Styela clava: one gene and its partners. The main gene of each other region encodes a partner of the protein of the gene in region 3 in a complex. Links are inferred from orthologs where the notes say so. Each region holds a gene or a part of one and is shown on either strand. Other genes may lie near its edges. The genes, in order: transmembrane protein 107-like, meckelin-like and tectonic-like complex member MKS1.

Region 1 (6,252 bases), on a different chromosome or scaffold from region 3:
ACGTGTTGTTCCACGAGGACGACGATTTTTTGTTCTCGTACGGAATTGTGGGTTCATTGTAAAAAACTTTAGTATACTCATATAATCATTAGCAACGAGATGCCGAAAATAATTAATGAAGAGGTGAATCCGCAACCCTAATTTCGGCATTATAAAGTATTAAAACTAAAATCGAAAACGGAAAATAACACCATAAGTTTTGTTTGAGCAGACCTGCGACAGACTAAAAACGATTTTTCATACATTGTAAATCACAAAATTTGATGTTATGTTGGGTTTTCTTTGGAAATCATACAATAGTCACTTAAATCGAAACACAGTCAACTGTGCGCGCGATGTCCCTTTTTATCCATTGTGAAACTACCGCCAGGGCTGCATGCGCGTTTTTCGCGGTATGTGACGACATTTCAGATACTTAATGAAATGTATTTCACTCAATTTTTATTGTAATAAAATTACATTCAACCCAATTGAACCAAAACAAGGTATTTTAAATATGCCCGCATTCTTCATGGATTGCGCAATTGTAAATATTGAGATATTCGTAAGGGCGATATCTTGATTAAAAATAGTCTTGAGTGCTGAACGAAGAAACCCTAATACGACAAATCCTAATATTGCAAAATGCGATCTAATCCATTTTCAGTTGGCAGTTTAGCACTTACTTTATGTTATTTTAGAATAGTAATCTCTCATTTTAGTAATCGTAATAGTAATTTCGACTCAAAGGCGAGTAACGATGAACACAAATAAATTATTATGACAATACATTATAAATGTTCGCATCGGCCACGGATTTAATATTATACGCAACAGAAAACTCGTTATCCAATAAAAAAGTCTTTTTTTAAAGAATGACCTAATTGCGAAGTATGCTCCACGGGAATTTCTGATTCCAATTCTAAACCCTCTCCTCCTTTTTAAAAATCCTAGCTGCGCACCTGCTTATAGTTAATGTCATATTTGAATTACCGCCTCGTTGCCATATTTCGACGCTACTATTGTCAAATTTTATGAAGACTTCTTTGAAAAGTTACAATATTATCCGAGTCAGTATTTTAAAAGTTATCGAATAGCTCGCGGAGCCCCTACGTTTCTCTCACGGAGCCCTAGGGCTCCGTACGGAGCACTTTGAGAACCTATGGCTTAGCCTTAGATGACTTAATTGAATAATAATAATACATCCATTTCACTTTTACTTGGCCTTCATTCTCATGTATAACAACTCTATAATTAGTTTATCTGCAAAAAACTCGTCGTCATGGATTGAATATTGTGCGACAGAAAAGGCCATTTATACACTAAAAAAGTCGGCTCGTTTAACAAACGCTTAATTGCGGCGAATTTTCGATTTTAAAATTCTGTTGTGTTTGGTTTTATTATTTCTTCACACAGAGTAAGTGCGGTTGCAATAAACGCACGTTGGGTCCGCAAAGGTTTTCGCCGGTGAAAAAATAGTCCGCGACCAAAAAAGGTTGGGAAACGCTCGAAATTAGAACTAATGTCAACGGTGAAACAACATTTGACTCGCTTTCGTTTTCTAGCAATTAGTCTTTTTTCTTTCGAAATTTGGGAGTGACTAAAAATAACCCTATGATAACTTTTTCTGCACAAGCCTTAGTTTAGACCCGATCGGTTCTCCAGTCCCGCACAAAACCAATTACGAACGTTTATTTACGTTATACGCAAATACTCTTATACAAAACGCGACCACGATAGATAGACAATGTGGAAGAATTTTCAGAACTCAGCAGTAATAAAATATATTTATATAAAAATAGGGTCCTTTAGCGAAACACCAAGTAAAAATAATTTCAAACTTTTTGATTCATATATGAAGCAGTTAAAATAGAAAGTTTGTTTAAAACGTGCTAACATTTAATATTTACAAAACTAATGCCAAGAATGAAATTCACAATTTTAAAAAAGTTTTAAGGCAAAACTGTGATATGTGACTGAGCCCTGGATCACTATTTGATCATGATTTAGGACTTTCAATTCAACAGATTCTTTGTGACCAGCATGGAGTGGAAGCATTTGATCAGACGCTGAAAAAAAACTTTGCCATTGACTATAAGTTTTTCTTCAATGCTAAAACACCGATGATAACAATAGTCTCAGTAATTGCTGGAAGGGCACTGTAAAAAAAAAAATTGACAGAGCAATGGAAATGGATTTTGTCACTGAATAAAATTATAATAAAACTCAGTGGCTACCATAAGCTTGTTTCTCTCAATTTTGGTAAATTCAGGAGAATTAAAAAGACGGAAAAAAACAATCATATTTTCAAACAAATATTGTTATAAGAGACTTAAACGTAGAGATTCTCTCACAACAATGTTGTTGGGCATTTTGTTACAATGATGCTACTTATAATAACTGGAATTTTTTACATTTCATATACATTCAAAACCTCCAACAGGTCTTTTTAAACTTACAAACTGTATTCAACAGAACTTAGAATTAGTCACATATCAAGAAGTCTCGAAAATCAAGAAAAACAAGAAGATCGACAGTGAAATGACTTAGGGCCTTGGAGTATACAAGAGTGGAAAATATATTGGTCATATGATGCACCATTATTTTAAAATATTCTGTGGCTTGGTCTGATGAAAAGTATATGAGAATAAAAGTTTTGTTGATAATTACTAACCTACAGAATGCAAAAATCCACCAATATAAAGAGCAGCTCCAAGAATCAAAAACGAAAAAGGCGAGAGTGACACTGGCCCCTGCATGAGCCGCAATAGCTGAATAGTTCAGTATAAGGAAGTTGAGGTAAACAATGTGAAATCTCAATTACTAAATACAAATTTTGCTGAATCCCACTTGAGTTCAACCTGCCTTCATAAAAAAATTTGTTAACGTCTTATTCCCCAATAATCTTACATTGAAGATATAAATTAAACACTATTTCCATTTATTGCAATTCAAAATCTTTTTTTATAGAATTAAATAAACTATTTGTTAAAAAGGATACAAAATAGAGACTGCGTGTGACTGAACATTGAAACTCCACCAATAAACCCTCCAAATTCAACCAAAAAGAATGCTAGTGTTATTGAAAGGCCAATAATAAGTTCAGTGTCTCTGGATGAATATTCTGCAGCAGTGTAGTTAATTGGAAGACATGCTTTCACATTCAGATCCTGTAGTAATATTGAACACTTCATGATTTACTCAAAACTAGAATAGAATATAACCAAAGGCACGCACTATTAATTAAATAGGTCAAAAAACTAATACACATTTAATTTGAGGTTTTCTGATAAAAGAAATATTTAAATCAACAATTACGGTAGTAATTTCTGGTGTTTAAAGCTATACATGTAAACATGATGGTCCCAAAAAACTGTGCTAAGAGTTCTGGTGCATGGTGCTCTGAAATACACTTTAGTTGCTACGTTTGTCATAAAATAGCAATTGTATTTTATATACAATATGATAATGAAAAAATACTCACCCTTGACCAGAATATTGATATGACAATCACCAGATGTGCTATGAGAACCAAGAATCTAGTTGGTACCAAACCACTTACAGCTCTCATAATTTTAATATGCGGCGGATTGAATCAATTTACAGGTGACGGTAGATAGGCTTACCCCTGTGAAAACAGAAAATATTCCATAATAAATCTGTGGTACAGCAAAGACAGTTATAGGTGTATATATTGGGAACATATTTATCCTTGGGGAGAGCAAAACGTTTGCCTAATCATGTTGAAAACTACTGCCTCTTGTCCAATTATCAGTTCATCAAGTATAGGAATACATAACTAGAGTGTTTCTTTCAGTTCATGAACTTGATGGTGGCAGGGTAGAGGAAGCCATAACCAAACAGATGATACAAACTTACTGAACCACACTACGATAGCAAGGGATGAGCCTTGTCATAACCGGACAAGGTATTTACACAAGTATTCTAATGAATGAGGTGAGCCAACCCAATTACCTAACTTATTTGCAATACTGTCTGAATATGGTACTAGAATACCGGCACCAAAATCATGAAAATAGTCTACTAAATATGGGATACCAGTAATGGAAAGTAACTATACCAGTAACTATATTTCCATCAATAGTCTTCTATTACTGTGTTATATACAGTAGGCCTATATAAGTTTATTTTGAATTCCCCGATGGGCAACACACATTCTAGCATTTGCTGGATGAGTCTGACAGTTGTACTGGCACCATAATATTGCAGTAAGACGGGAGATAGGCTACAAAATGAGATTAAATCTGTGAATAGTCAATGTATCGTAACTGTAGTACGGTAAGTTTTAGTTATGCACCATAGGCTAACCGGTACCGATAACTCTTGAGATCTAGGACAGTGATACAGTTCGATACCGGTAATAGCATTCTGACGTCTTTGCTTATGCCCCGGTTAAACTTAAATCGCGCATAGACTAGGTACCGTACCGGTATATCTGTACGGTATCGGTATAGTCTAGTCTAGCTCATTTGAAACGTAGGCTATCAGATGATAGTGTTAACTCTCATGAGCACGATCAACCGCTCGATTTAATGCGTAACCAACCCCGTCGCTGCATATGATCGTAAATATATACTACTACGATATGATCGCTAAACTTCTGATGAGAGATGTCTGTACCACTGTACTACTTTATCGGATCACCGAAGAGCGCCGGTATTGAAATTACCGTCAATATATATATAAATTTCATTGAGTGGGTATCTATTAAATATTTACCTGTGAAACGGTGTTTGCAGAGAACAATATTCGAATCGGCGGTGTGGCGCATCGTGCTATACGTTAAGAATACGCTTGCCATCGCACATATGATTAACCTGATTGCTTTAGTCAATATTCATATAAAACTTGATCCTCGTAAAAAAAATCATGTTTATTTCAATTGCTAAAAAAATTATTTTTAAACAAACTTCGAAAAAAAATTAATAAACCCTGAAGGGGATTTAGGATTTTGGTACCGGTACTCGTTGAAATAAGATGATTGTAACAAACATTACTTGCAATGAGAATAAAAACGTTGTGGTCACAATTGGTGATCTGAATTTCATTTATTATTTATAACCGATCATGTTTTTTAATCCTGGGAATATATTTGTGAGTACATAGCATATATCCCAATTATGTCTACCCAAGAGATTGGTTTTCAATCGTTGGTTGTAAATTGAAGATGAGGTATTCCTAATATATGATAGTACTTTCCCCCACCACAGGACGACAGATTTCTTCTATTCATGCATCCATGCATAAAGGGAACAAATAAAACACCCCAGTGAACATATGGATTTTCATATGGGTGGTTGGCTTCTGGGATATTGGGTGGTTCACGTAACCGCTGGTCGGTTACGGCTTCCTCCACCACCAAGTCCATGCTTCCGAAAACAAACAATACAGTAAATCTAATCCCATACCCGACTTGGAATGGTAACCGAACGAGAGGCCGTGGTTCGCCATATGAATAAGCCGTCTTATCGCCTTTCCTCTCCCCCGGGATAAATATGTAAATCCTATCCTATCCATATTCATACTTGACGTAAACTCGTAAACGGTCCCCGTGCGTTGGTTGCTTTCCTAATTTTGTGATCAGTTTTGTCAAATATTTAATCATTATGCTAATTAGAAACTAAAATGATAAGCATATGAATAACCGTATTTCGGTTCTATTATATCGCGAAACATCCTCTTGCTTGTTTTCAACCGATTCCAAAATTTTTGACTCTAAACACTACAATACCGACAACACGCTTGTTCCAATTCCTACACTGCTGTCAGCCTTTAGTATTTGAGTATATTTCAATTTCTGAGCTAACTTAGGCAAAGGCAGTATGGCTACGGTACGGTACCGTACCGGTGCGAAAGTTGCCAGACGATAAGTTGAACAGACCTGGGCATTAATTGTCAACCATTAAGCCCTAAATGACTTTTTCATAGCGTGTTTTTAATAGAGTTCTATACCGGTATGTTTAAAACACACTCCTAAAATAATATTTTTTTATGCGACAAAATTTCTATTGAACAATCTTGAACTTGCGAGATTTTGTGTCTAGTAGAGGTTAATTAATTTTTATTTCAACGTTTTCTTGTGTTATTTTCCAACAGAACAACACCAAAACCACTATTATAGCAAGAATGGATACCGGTACTCTAAAATTCACGATTGTATTTACAGAATTTTCAAATTCAAGGCTTCAATTGACAATTTTGATGATGTCATACCTCTAATTATTACTGCACAGTTTATTGTAATTTATTTCC
Region 2 (6,252 bases), on a different chromosome or scaffold from region 3:
GACAATGGATCAATTATAATTTTTTCGAATATAAAATGAAATGCTTAATCACCTGATAATCTTCTACAATCTTTCTTAATACCTTTAGCTCACTTGAAAATGCTCACATGCACGAAAGACTAAAGATTAGAGAGTAATGATACAACAATTCTATTGAATTACTACTGTACCTTCTCAATTTGAATGATTTTATTGCTATCTCAATCAATGTGATGATATACTACACAGCTGAATTGAAAGCATTTTCATGTCTAACAACTTCACTTTTTTGAACACTGATTCATCACATCAACAGTTAAATATATTTGGAAGAAAAATTCGAACTGATTAAACCTCCTCGCTAATGTATACTGCATGGATTCACATTCCCTCTCAAGCCACTTTAAAAACTCAAATTCACTAAACTCGTAGAATCAACTACATTCATTAGAAAAACTATCAATTCTTTACCTACCACCAGACTTGAACAACTCTGAACTTAACAATAATTCATAGAAAGTCAATATATTTTTCACAATACACAAGACATATTAATTAATAAAAATGATAAAACTTACAGTATCAGAAGTTGTTGTTGGTATACTGATGCCATTGAGATTCCCTGCTGTTGTTGAATTAAAACAAAGGCCTCCAAACACTGCTGCAGATGTAATATTGAAACAACATTCCGGACATGGCACACAGCTACAAAAAAAAAATTATAAAAAGAATGAATTTAAGCAAGGAAAATCGTTTAAATGACTAAATACTATGGCAGCATATAGTCAGAATAACGATCTGGGCAAAGCCACGCAGAGTAATTACAAATGTAATGAGAATTGCAAAGATTTTGCTAACACTTAGAATAATGTGCCAACTATTTCCTCTAAATAGAAGAAGCTGCAAGGGTTGAGGCCTGAGGGTCACGAGATCTCGCTTAGATGTTGTTGACAAAACTTTTGAACGATACCTAACCAATTTTTTGCAGGGCTGTATATCTTAAAAACTTTTCAACATGTTTTGAACCATCTCAAAAAAATTAAAAAAATTATGACACGCTCAAAAGAATTCAAAAAAAGGAAAACTCTCAATAAAATCCATTGCCAATGCTGACCTTTATATTCATTCATATCTATTTATCATAGAAGAAATGAGAGAACAAAGTAAGTGTAAGAGAATTTACGAAAGTAATGATTGAATTGAAATAAAAGAAAGTAAAAGCAACAATTACTGAATATATATTTTACAATTAAAACCAATATTTCATTTATTTTTAACTCACTTCAAATTTCCAGTGTTCACCAAAGAAGTTGAAGAACAAGATGAACAAGTTCCAACAGAATCTACTACTGAAGAATATGAAGGTACTGAAAACAATTTTATATTTTACTTTTCTCATTTTACTAAATTGAAACTGATTTATAATAAGCATTTAAGTAAGAACATATTAACAAAACTCGTGGTTAATATGATATGTGTGTTTATTATATGAAATTTGTATGAAAGAAGCATAACTCAATACTAGTGATTGCACACTCATGGCACTATCTATTTGTACATACACCAAGATCATGGATGGATGGACAATCTTAAATAATTGACACAGAAGTAATTTGATATTAATTGAATATTTCAGAATCATGCTTTGATTTCTGAGATCTGATAAACTTGATACAATGAGCCTATTATGAAACCTAATTTGGTAATCTAATAGGTGTGATACTTCTTAATCAAATCAGTCAGGTGTTTCACATGAAATCAGGTGTTTCACAAGAAAAATAATTGTAAAAATATTGAATGGGGCTTTCTGGTTTGTCCTGAATATAATATACTGACAGTATGACAGTACTTTTGAGAAAAATGGTTTTCCAGCAATACCAAAACAGGGGTGTCGCTATGTATGACCAATTTTAAAAGCCACAATAAGCCTAAAAGATTCTCAAATATTGAAATGAAGCATATAAAGTAGCTCATATATAAACATATTACATAAATGAATATCAATGATAACAACAGAAATACACAAAGTGTCGTTTAGTTCGTTCGTTAGCTTGTGGTGTCAAACTGCCTATTACAATGTCAAACTGAATTCAAAACTCTATTAGTTCATTATCAATTCTTTGAAATACTTTCTTATAGCAATCAGCCCTACTTGAAGAAATTATCGTATGCAGTGAAGTGTGAGTCATTTCAAAATATTCCGCAAACCCCATATATGTATGATTTGGCCAAAGTACATGAAAATCATTTTACAGAAAAGTTATGAAAAAAAACAATATGAAAACTTAAGCTAAAGATTTTTGTTTTATTCAATATGTGCCAAGTACTACTGTATGTAAATAAATAAAAATCATTTTTCTTACTAATCAATTGTTGATCCACTGCACATGTACATTGTCCATTTACATCCGTTCCATTTGAGCATGATGAACAGAAATATCCATCTGGAGTTGTTATTCCCTGTTTACAACATTATTAAGGATTATTTCATGTTCAATTACTCACAACTAACAGGTGAAAAACTATTAAACAATCAAAACAAATGACTCGAAAATTTTGGATGGAGTATGATTTATCATTATATGAAATCAATAAATGAAAGTTAAAAAATCTAGTATTGATATAACTTGCTAGAAAAAACTGTAAATGTGAAAAAAATATTTGAATAGACATATTAGTAGGAAGACAAAAAATAACTTACGCTTGAACATGCTTGACAAGACAGAACTCTGACATTGTTGATGTCTGCTTTATAACCTGGTCTGCATGTGCATGAGTAACCTGAAAAATATATAATCAATAATATAAGATTTACATATTTATTCCATAGGAAAGGAAAGTTAATAAGCAGCTATATCACATGGGAAACTACGGACTCCCATTCGGCTACTAGTCCATGCCTGGTATGGGGTTAGTTAGCCAATTAATTTTTTCAGATGCATGAATTTGATGGTAGAGAAAGACGTAACCGAGCGGTTACTTGAAGCGCCCTATGACAGCGTGAAGTCCAGCAGTCCTATCGCAATTTTACCCCACAGGATTCGTACCTATGAACCCACACAGGGTAAACAGGGGTGCGGTGGCAAGCATATTCTTAATGCTTAGCACAAAGCGCAACACCGCCGAGATATTGAGATATGCAAAAAACTAAGAAAATACTTTTTAAGATTATTCGCATTCACCTGAAGAATCTGGCAGCATCCCCACTGGATCTTGGCAATTTCCACATTGTAAAATTCCAAAATTGTAATATTGTTCAGTAGAGCAAGCTGATGGTTGCACGGAAATGAATCCAAACTGTTGACATCTCACACATTGAAATTGGATATACAGAAGAAAAATCGAATAGATGAAAAAACTGAACATTATCTTCGAAATGTTGTATTAACAATTGTCACTGGTTCATAAAAAAAACAATGATCAGTTAAACATAGTAATAGTTTATTTTCTAGAATATACAGATACGGTAATTGAAAAGTCTTGTTGAACATTACGAACCTTTCTTCCAGAGATATCTCTCAGGCTCACTGACCATTCAAAAATCTGAAGATTTACAGATTGATATTGTGAAGCTAAACTTCAATTACTGAATTAATCACAAGTGGTGGTCCATGTTAAAAAAAAATTTCATTTTATTCAAGTAGAAGTTCATCACGAGCTCATTTTATTTTTACCGAATGATAAAATAATTGATAAAAAAACGAATAAAATAAAAAATTATAACTAAATAATAAGGTGATAAATAAAACGAAATAAGTTAAATAAAAACCGATATTAGAATCAGCCTAATCGTCCTAACCAACCATGGCTCTGTTTAAATAAACAGAGCAAATATATATCAAAGAGTTGACAGTGGAAAATAATACTTTCCGGGTAAACTCTTCCACCTTAATGTATTATTCGTCCCTCTGTTGATACACCAAAGATCTGAAAGTACAATGTTGTTGTGTTCGCTGAACCGCTTGATATAACGTAACGCCTTGCCACGCTCGATTAGGCATCAACTTTTTGGGCAAAGAAAAATTCTGCTAGAAGTAGAATTACGTAGGCTACATAATACAGGTTGGGTATAAAAATGGTTAATATAATAAACGCATTCAAGCAAAGTTGCACCTGAATTTGATTGTGCAAATACACATTAGATACTAAATAACATTTCCAGGTATCGTAGATTCTTTTTAATAGCGGTATCTTCATCCATTCATTTAGCGAATACTTGATAGGCCTACTGAATTTTAGCTGCAAAATAGCGAAGTAACAATTCAATGTATGAAATTAACCTAAAAGTAAAAAGCCATTAATAGAACAACAACAGATTTAATTAAAGGAATGTGGAGAGGCGCGATAATTAGGAGGTTTCCCATTAGCGACACCTAGTAATGAGTATAAATATATCGCAACAAAACATTTCTGACGAACATGACCAAGGTCCTGCGCCTGAGTGGCCTGCCAGCCCGGTAGCAAGTCTATGTCCATTGTGCGATATAAGTATTTTCTTTTGCAGTTAATAGGATGTGGCCTGACTAAATGCCGTTTTCAGACGTTGTCACTCGAATTGTCGGGGAAATACAATGCTATCTGATTCACTTCTGTGAAAATAGTTCATTTACTTCTCGCTTTGTATTTTGTATATGGTTTTTCCAAATTGTCTTTGTTGTACACCTTTTTTCGCGTTTGTTGTTTGCTTCCTCATAATTTATTGCTAGATAGTCTTCTGTAATAAAAAAAAAACTCTATGGACCTTGTGTGGATTTTAACCCTAGATCTGTATCATATAGGCTAACACGGTACCGATTTGGGTACAAAGCTCAAACAATTATATAGTAGGGTGACCATACGTCCTCCTTTTGGAGGATTTGTCCGCTTAAATTTTTCCGTCCTCCGAGGACGCTCTGAAACGTCAAAATGTCCTCCTTTTGGACGGGATTAACTATTTTAAAATTCCTTATGATATATATAACCAAAAATTTTTGATGTGTTAAAAAAAGTAAATATAGACTTGTAATCATCATTAGATATGACCAGGATATGACAACTGACAAGCAATGCATTGCGTTATGTTAACATGCGGGGTTACTCTAGAGCAAGCCTGCACAACTCAAATTCCCACGAGGGCCAGAAGCATAAATCTGAAGGCCCGGCGGGCCGCAAACTTTGCCACATACATATTTCACAAGATGAACTACAAATCAAAATAATATTGTGAAACAGTTAAATTTAATGAAACACTTTCATTACTGGGGAGCTTAAAAATATGAAGAATCTTATTTTCTTAAGTAAAAACAAGGTACAGTATTTTTGCATATGAGATGGCAAATATGTATTTAATGGTTCATCTACCTTGAAAACCCACCCTTCATTTTCAATATTTCTTTTTTATTAGAATTAGGTATTGCGTGTTGCAGTATAAACTGACTGCAGGAAAATATTTCACTCAGGTTCCGTTTTGTAAAATCGTCCCAAATATATATATGACAATTTATTTAGTCATATCCACCATTATTGGATATTTCCATTGTAGGCTGGACAAATAATCCGTTTAGTAGCAATAGATAGATCTTCCTCTGTTGTACTTTTTTGACTGTTAAATTACATTGTTTTTACAAAATCTGCTTCAATTTATTTGAAATTTTACAGTAAATAGCAATATCTTTTGTGCGAGAATTTCTTTTTTAAGTTCTAAATTTGATTCAAAAAGAAACTTCAGTTTCATAACCTGCTAGTAAAAAATAACGAGTTATTAATAGGTTGCTAATATGCACTAATAGGTGTGTGATTGTATATCGATATTGTTTTAAGCGTGATTCAGTTTGAATACTGAGATATCTAAATCAGGGTTTCCCAAACTAGGGGGCGAGAGATCGAGCGACGAATTTCAAGGGTCGCGGAGGGCACACCAATTTCACACAACGTTCGATATTTATTGAAACTAGTGCAAAACATAAATCTCACGATTTCGAGTACGATCGGAGTAGCGGCGCGCTTGCATAACAATGCCGGCTTAGGCTGTTAGACCTGAGAAGTGGCGTGTTCCCAAATTACCCGCGGGCCGCACAGAAGTATCTAGCGGGCCGTATGTTGTGCAGGCCTGCCTAGAGGTTAAATGCATAATTGATCTGCACAATCGTTTATGACGTAAAAATCGCATTTATTGTGCAATTCTGTTTTACGTCACTTCACTTTGTATATCGCAATTCCGTGAAGTTTCGATTGTGGCAGATCCTTGCGCTTGTAAACCCAGTAAATTATGCAGAAAAGGAAAACCTTTTTCTC
Region 3 (6,252 bases):
TGTAATATAGTAGTAGAATTCATAGTCGAATAACCAGAAAAATTGAAAATATTCAGCACACACAAGGTATATATTGACCACACATCCGCAAATGTTAAATTCAGATATTCTTTTAATTCTACCTAGTAATTTCAATAAATATTTATATTGACTGTTACAAGGCTCTATGGCAGTGGCCTCCGTATGGAGGCTTTCAGCACTGCACTGATGGCACCCCTGTTAAATATTCCAGTGGTATTTGTAATGTTACTTTGATTGGTAGATTTTAATAATTCATATTCAACAAAGTGGAGAAACGAAAGTGAGCAATAATCTTATCAAGCAATGAAACTAGGAAGAGCGGGGAGTTATCCTAGTAAACGCAAAAATAAAATTAGTTTTGTTCCTGGCATGGTGGGCCACGGGCACACGGTTGGAAACCACTGCTCTATAGCCATTACCTTTGGAGGAATTTCACTCTTATCAATGAAATTGTACTATAGTAATATAATGAGGTCATTTACTAGATGCACAAATTCATTTTGATATGTATAACAAGGGGTTGCCACTTGCCATACTACATAGATTGCAAAAACTATTGAAACATGAAATAAGTTATTGTATATGAGCAGGTGAGGAACAACACAACTCGTAATTGATCATTTTTCTATACAGTATATCTATATATCCATATGGAATCTTAATCCATAAGCTGACTAACTTTTCCTCAGCTGATAGTGAACACTAAATTGCCTACTTTTAATTTTTGAACATCATTGTGATACTTGTAATCTTGTACTGTGCCACCAACTGGACTGTTTGAGTAGAATTCATATTCTCTCTGTGAATGAGAATAAACAAATAACAGTTCGACAATAAAATAAGATGGCAGTCTATATAGAAGCAATGTTGTCTAAAATAGGCAGGGTGCTAACCAGAAAAGACACAAATTTTTGAAGGAAATATCTGCAAACTGAAATATGAAAACACAACGAAATGAGGTGAAAAGAGTCATTGCCAGTAAATAGAGACAAACTACAGGGTGTTAAAAAGTTGCACAAAATTAAGGTAGAATTTTTCGTCATGGCAACGATAAAAAGTAACTGTTAAAAAGTCAGTCGTGGTATGTTCAAATGGCATTTCACTGTAATTCAATACTGTTAAAAGGTGTCAGTCGTTAAATGTTTTAAGTAGCATATTTTAACTTCTGGTAATTTTGCGTTACTTTTTTAACACCTGTATATGGACTATCAGTATAACGTCATTGTAATATATAAATGAACCAATTTCGGTGACATTTGTGTGAAAAAAAATCATTACTCACAGCTGAAAAGAACTTCTGTTGCCAACTACAATCTAAATTTTCAGTTTCAAGAATGGTTTGACCAAATTCATTGATGCTTGTGCTAGAAACAGACACAGCAGTGCCACTGTCACCTGCTGCATCTCCTGCTGTTGCAGGACGAGAGGAAAGAAATCCTAGAATTGCTGGACTGACACGTTGGAGATTGATACTGCAAAACAAGTTAAACTTCTTAATTTAGTTATATTGATTTCCCTAAAGCGGGTAGGTATTTTCCATCAGTTACAAAATATATTATAAATAGAAAAAATTGTTGACTAAATTTCTGATAGGTTTCCAATTGTAATAGCAATAAAAGATGAAAATAATGATGATAATCTTACAGGGTATAATATCAATGGATGAATATTCGAAGGTCAAATTTAAATTATTTTTCGATAAGATAATAATTTTTTTTGAAATCCACCATGGTACAAAATAATTACAATACACAAGACGAAAACACTGGATTGAAATACTTAAAAGTTATGAAAACCTCAAATGAGATTGAAAACATGAGACTTAAAGTACTACATAAGCAATGCCACCTTGTGACATGGAATAGGTAAGTGAAAAAACGAGACTATACTCTGTGTTAAGCTCAGGAGCATTGTGATAATACATAAAAATATTTAGAAAATAATCGGAATAAAGTAAATCAATATACATAGAAGACAAAAAACAAACAAGATCTTGGTCATAAGAGACACATTTAGGACTTCGGATTCAATCCAATATTTAGGAATGCATATTTTTCTTAGACAGCTTGTAAATGAGTAGGTAGTAAATGACATAAATAATAAGATCTAAAACTATTGTCGGACATTCTCCAAAAATGATCAACTCGACTCACTAAAAACTGTGAACTAATTACCAATAAACTTTTCCTCATTCAGTATAGCCTAATAAGCATCATATATGTGCACTTGAATATAAATTTCACTGATATGAAGCACAGTTTAATTATAGTGAAAATCCTATTTACAGAGTTAATTGATTGCTTGCTTACCTCAAGGTTTTTTGTAAATGCTATAAATTAAATTATGGCATAGCATAGAACAGCGGCTCCCAAAGGTGGCATTTGCTAAGTGCGCCAGAAAAATTAACAAAATTATGTTAAACAAATATATGATTGAATATTTGAAGAGATATGTTCAGAGAAGAAGCCGCACATCTCTCATTAGATAAATAAGTACAAATGTTATGTTGTTTTGTTGATATTGCCTTTATTCTTTTCACGTTTACAAACTCCGAAAAGCATAAAATACACAATAACGATCACAAAATTATGTTTTATTCAAAGGCAGCAATTTCGTTTTCGTGTAAGTCATGAAATGAGTTTTTTCCCTGACAATTTGGCATAGCAAGAACAAAAATTTTGGAAATCGCTTGCTTAGGAAATAGAGTAAGAGGCTAGTTGGTACTTACAAAATGAACTATTAATCAGATGAAGTATGTGATCTATTATAAGATGAAGTGTAAACCAATCAGTAAATCTTATCGAAACTAAGCTTAACCATGTCTCGCTTTTGTCTAACTAGTGTAGGATTTTTTAATGGTTAAAATGTTGGGATTGTGATAACGCCAAATTTGATACTCTGTCTCTTTAAGGTAATTTCAGTTATAATAATTATCAAAACAATATTGAAAATATATTTAGGATAAATAATTCTGTTTTTACCCTCTGGAGTTGGGTGGAATATAATATAAAATTATCAGATTGGCTCAATCAAGTAAGAACTAGATCTATATTGAAATTACTATTGCATAATTATAGAAGACTGAAATACCGGGTCTCGTGTAGTTTCGTACCTAACGTACTTCTAGTGGGTGTAGCATAACAATTTTTTGATATGTCAATCCTAACCCCCATCTGACTACGCCATCCAAAAATTAAATCACTACGACATCAAAATCACGTCATAGAGCTTGCCAAATATACGCATGATCGACCGAAATGGCATTGGCGCCGACGATAAAGAACTGACTGACGTTATCGGTCTCTCTCCTATTGAAATCGTTGCGACGAGAAAACGAGAGAAATAACTGTTCGATTTCGCAAGTGCAGTTTTAAGTATTCTGTGGCATCTGCAGCTGCCGCAAAACCATGTCGGTATTTCCATACCATGGCCGCTACGGCCAAACTCATGGCAACTGACTTTTTAGCTGCCACAAACCAATGTCGAGCTGCCGTTACCGCGGCAGCAAATTGAAAACCAATGACAGGTAAAATTTTGCTGCCGTAACCGCGGCAGGTGGGCCGTAAAGACAAGGCTGTCTATTATGGTGACAAATATAGGGTAAGTTGGAACGTTTTTCTGATGGATACAGTTTTGATTGATTTGGGGTTAGGGTTAGGGTTTAAGTAGATATAATTCCACATGATCAATTAAAATCTGGTACATTATTTTGTGAATATACCGTTAATACTGATTACTGAATAGCGCTATAAAACCATGGCAAGAGCTGCCGCGGTTCGTTCGTGGCAGGAGCTGCCATGAAGTGGTAAGAACTGCGCCTCCGATTTCGGGTGCTCGTCTTGGATGGCAGTTCGTATAGTTTGAAGGGCTCTATTACGTCACTGTGACGTCGTAATGATGAATAAATGAGTTCAATAAATAAACACTATTAATGATACATTGGTAATAGAATAGCAAGAGGAATTACAAGAAAATAAAGGATGAAATACTGACCTGAGACGAAAATTTTTAATGGGGTCTCCCGAACGATATGTTGCACCACCAGTATCTACTTCATAAGATTTGTCCATGTGTTGTGAGGTTAAATATCAGTTGCACCAAATAATTCAAAATCGAATAACACGAATAACTACGGTATGTCCTGAAAGCTGGTTACAGAAATACTGGTACTGTCCACCTTGCTTTAAACAGTTTTGTCGAATCCCAGGCACGATAAGTGTTTTGATTGACACATCTCTACATAATATATCAAGCGGTCGAGTGGCCCGGGTCAAATAGATTTGGCGAGGTGATCTTTTGGTCGTAAAAAAGTAAAGAAAGGTTTCAATTTTCCCAATTTTTATACGGCGTAAAACATGTTATCAACCGTGGAAAATTATTCCTGCAAAAATAGATAAACTGCCAGTCCACGTGAAAAAGTGGAAATTATATAAAACTCGTTTTTAAGAGCAAAGCTATTTCTATGTTACCAGATGTTTCTATGTCTATAAAATGTCATGTTCTATTAGTATAAATAAGAGGATCTTTTGACGGTACTTGATTCCCTAGCCAAAACGTGTCTTCAGTCTGAGCGGAGTCGCTGCTCTAAACGCACTCAATTTAAATCTGTTTTATTTTCAAGTTATCTCTTGATATGCATTTTTAAAAATTCATTTCCTTTCCTATTAATTGAAAGTGATTTGTATATCACACGTATCTATTCAGTTGTGCGGAACGTTAGTTGTAATGCAAAAACGCAAAAACCGAGTGTTGATTAAAGTACCAGGTATATCAGCAGAGCACTTTTCCGGATTATGAAGAAGGTGCACTCCCACAAAAAATTCGATAGATTCATGATCGCTAGCGTTTCAGTGCCAATTTCAAGAATATCAGGAGCACAAATTGCCACCGTCCTAGACGTTCAAGGCTTCTTGTCAAGTGCAGTTTCAAGTATTTTGTGGCGTCTGAAGCTGCCGAATAACCATGGTGGGATTTCCAAACAATGGCCGGTATGGCCAAACCACGGCTTCTGACTTTTTAGCTGCCACAAACCAATGGCGAGATGCCGGTACCACGGCAGCAAATTGAAAACCAATGGCGGGTAAAATATTGCTTCCGTAATCAAGTCATGTCGGCTGTAATGGCAGGGCTACCCCTGATGGTGACATATATCGGGTAAGTTGGAACATTTTTTTTATGAATACAGTTTTGATGAATTTGGGGTTGGATTTCAGGTTTAGGTAGATATAATTCTGCATGATAAACTATAATCTGGTACATGACTTCGTGAATATACCGATAATACTGATTACTGAATAGCGCCATAAAACCATGGCAAGAAACGCCGCGGTTCGTTCGTGGCAGGAGCTGCCATGAAGTAGTAAGAACTGCGACTCCTGCTTGTAGAGCAGGGGTCGGGAACTTTTTCAGTCAAGAGAGCCATAAAAGGTACATATTTTCACTGCATTTCCGTGCGAGTCATATAGCATTTTTCACTTAATCAGGCCTGAAATTTTTACTCAAAAGTCAACACATAGGCTACAATGCCAATATACATTCAATGTGACTTGTGAATTGTGATGCTGCATGTTGTCTCTGCGGGCTTTGAACGGCTGCTCACATGCAGCACAAGTTGAAATCTACGATACTCATCAGCCATCACCCTTTTTGGTTTAGGCATCTCCTTAGTATTTCAAAAACTAGCTATGCTAGTCCGATTTAAATATGACAAATACTGTAACTAGTATGTACGAACGGACGAAAAGCTTCATTCTATTACTCCTCGGCTCTATCGCTTTGTGATGTCAAAAAATATGTTCCAGAATCTCCTAGTTTTGTCACAATGCCTGTCTGATAATTCTCTTATATAATATGAATTCTTAATAATCCATAGTCGAACACAATATATAATACAGAATAGATCAAATTTAATTCTGCAATGCCATGCTAAAATAAGGTAGATTTCAGTTATTGCGATATTTTCCCGGGCTGAACCGGCCGATTTGAGACACGAAGCAATTGAGAAATCAAATTAGCAAAAATTCCAGTTTGTTTGGGATCCCAATAAATGATTGAAATACAATGAAGGTAATCTGACTCATTTTTCTGGTCTGCATTCGCAAGACACCCCTCAATTTCCGATCTGCTCCTTTAGATATATATATATAAGTGTGTGTGTAACAGCCGATTCTTCAGCTTTTTGGGACCTGTCACATCGACTGAGGTGTGATTTTAACAAACGAAATACTGATA

The links.
Region 1: tectonic-like complex member MKS1 (region 3) and transmembrane protein 107-like share a complex: the UniProt entries of both Homo sapiens proteins name them as parts of the tectonic-like complex. The link is inferred for Styela clava from reciprocal best matches to the Homo sapiens genes MKS1 and TMEM107.
Region 2: tectonic-like complex member MKS1 (region 3) and meckelin-like share a complex: the UniProt entries of both Homo sapiens proteins name them as parts of the tectonic-like complex. The link is inferred for Styela clava from reciprocal best matches to the Homo sapiens genes MKS1 and TMEM67.

What each region holds. Positions count from the first base shown.
Region 1 is NC_135256.1:19,256,276-19,262,527, forward strand, and holds transmembrane protein 107-like, read right to left. Parts: upstream 3,608-6,252; 5' UTR 3,551-3,607; coding exon 3,464-3,550; intron 3,150-3,463; coding exon 2,981-3,149; intron 2,751-2,980; coding exon 2,654-2,750; intron 2,139-2,653; coding exon 2,072-2,138; 3' UTR 1,748-2,071; downstream 1-1,747. UniProt on the Homo sapiens protein: Plays a role in cilia formation and embryonic patterning. Requires for normal Sonic hedgehog (Shh) signaling in the neural tube and acts in combination with GLI2 and GLI3 to pattern ventral and intermediate neuronal cell types.
Region 2 is NC_135263.1:15,829,797-15,836,048, reverse strand, and holds the start of meckelin-like, read right to left. Parts: upstream 4,213-6,252; 5' UTR 3,346-4,212; coding exon 3,162-3,345; intron 2,761-3,161; coding exon 2,681-2,760; intron 2,440-2,680; coding exon 2,343-2,439; intron 1,347-2,342; coding exon 1,262-1,346; intron 685-1,261; coding exon 558-684; intron 1-557. UniProt on the Homo sapiens protein: Required for ciliary structure and function. Part of the tectonic-like complex which is required for tissue-specific ciliogenesis and may regulate ciliary membrane composition.
Region 3 is NC_135257.1:11,290,520-11,296,771, reverse strand, and holds the start of tectonic-like complex member MKS1, read right to left. Parts: upstream 4,476-6,252; 5' UTR 4,092-4,475; coding exon 4,015-4,091; intron 1,494-4,014; coding exon 1,304-1,493; intron 821-1,303; coding exon 737-820; intron 1-736. UniProt on the Homo sapiens protein: Component of the tectonic-like complex, a complex localized at the transition zone of primary cilia and acting as a barrier that prevents diffusion of transmembrane proteins between the cilia and plasma membranes.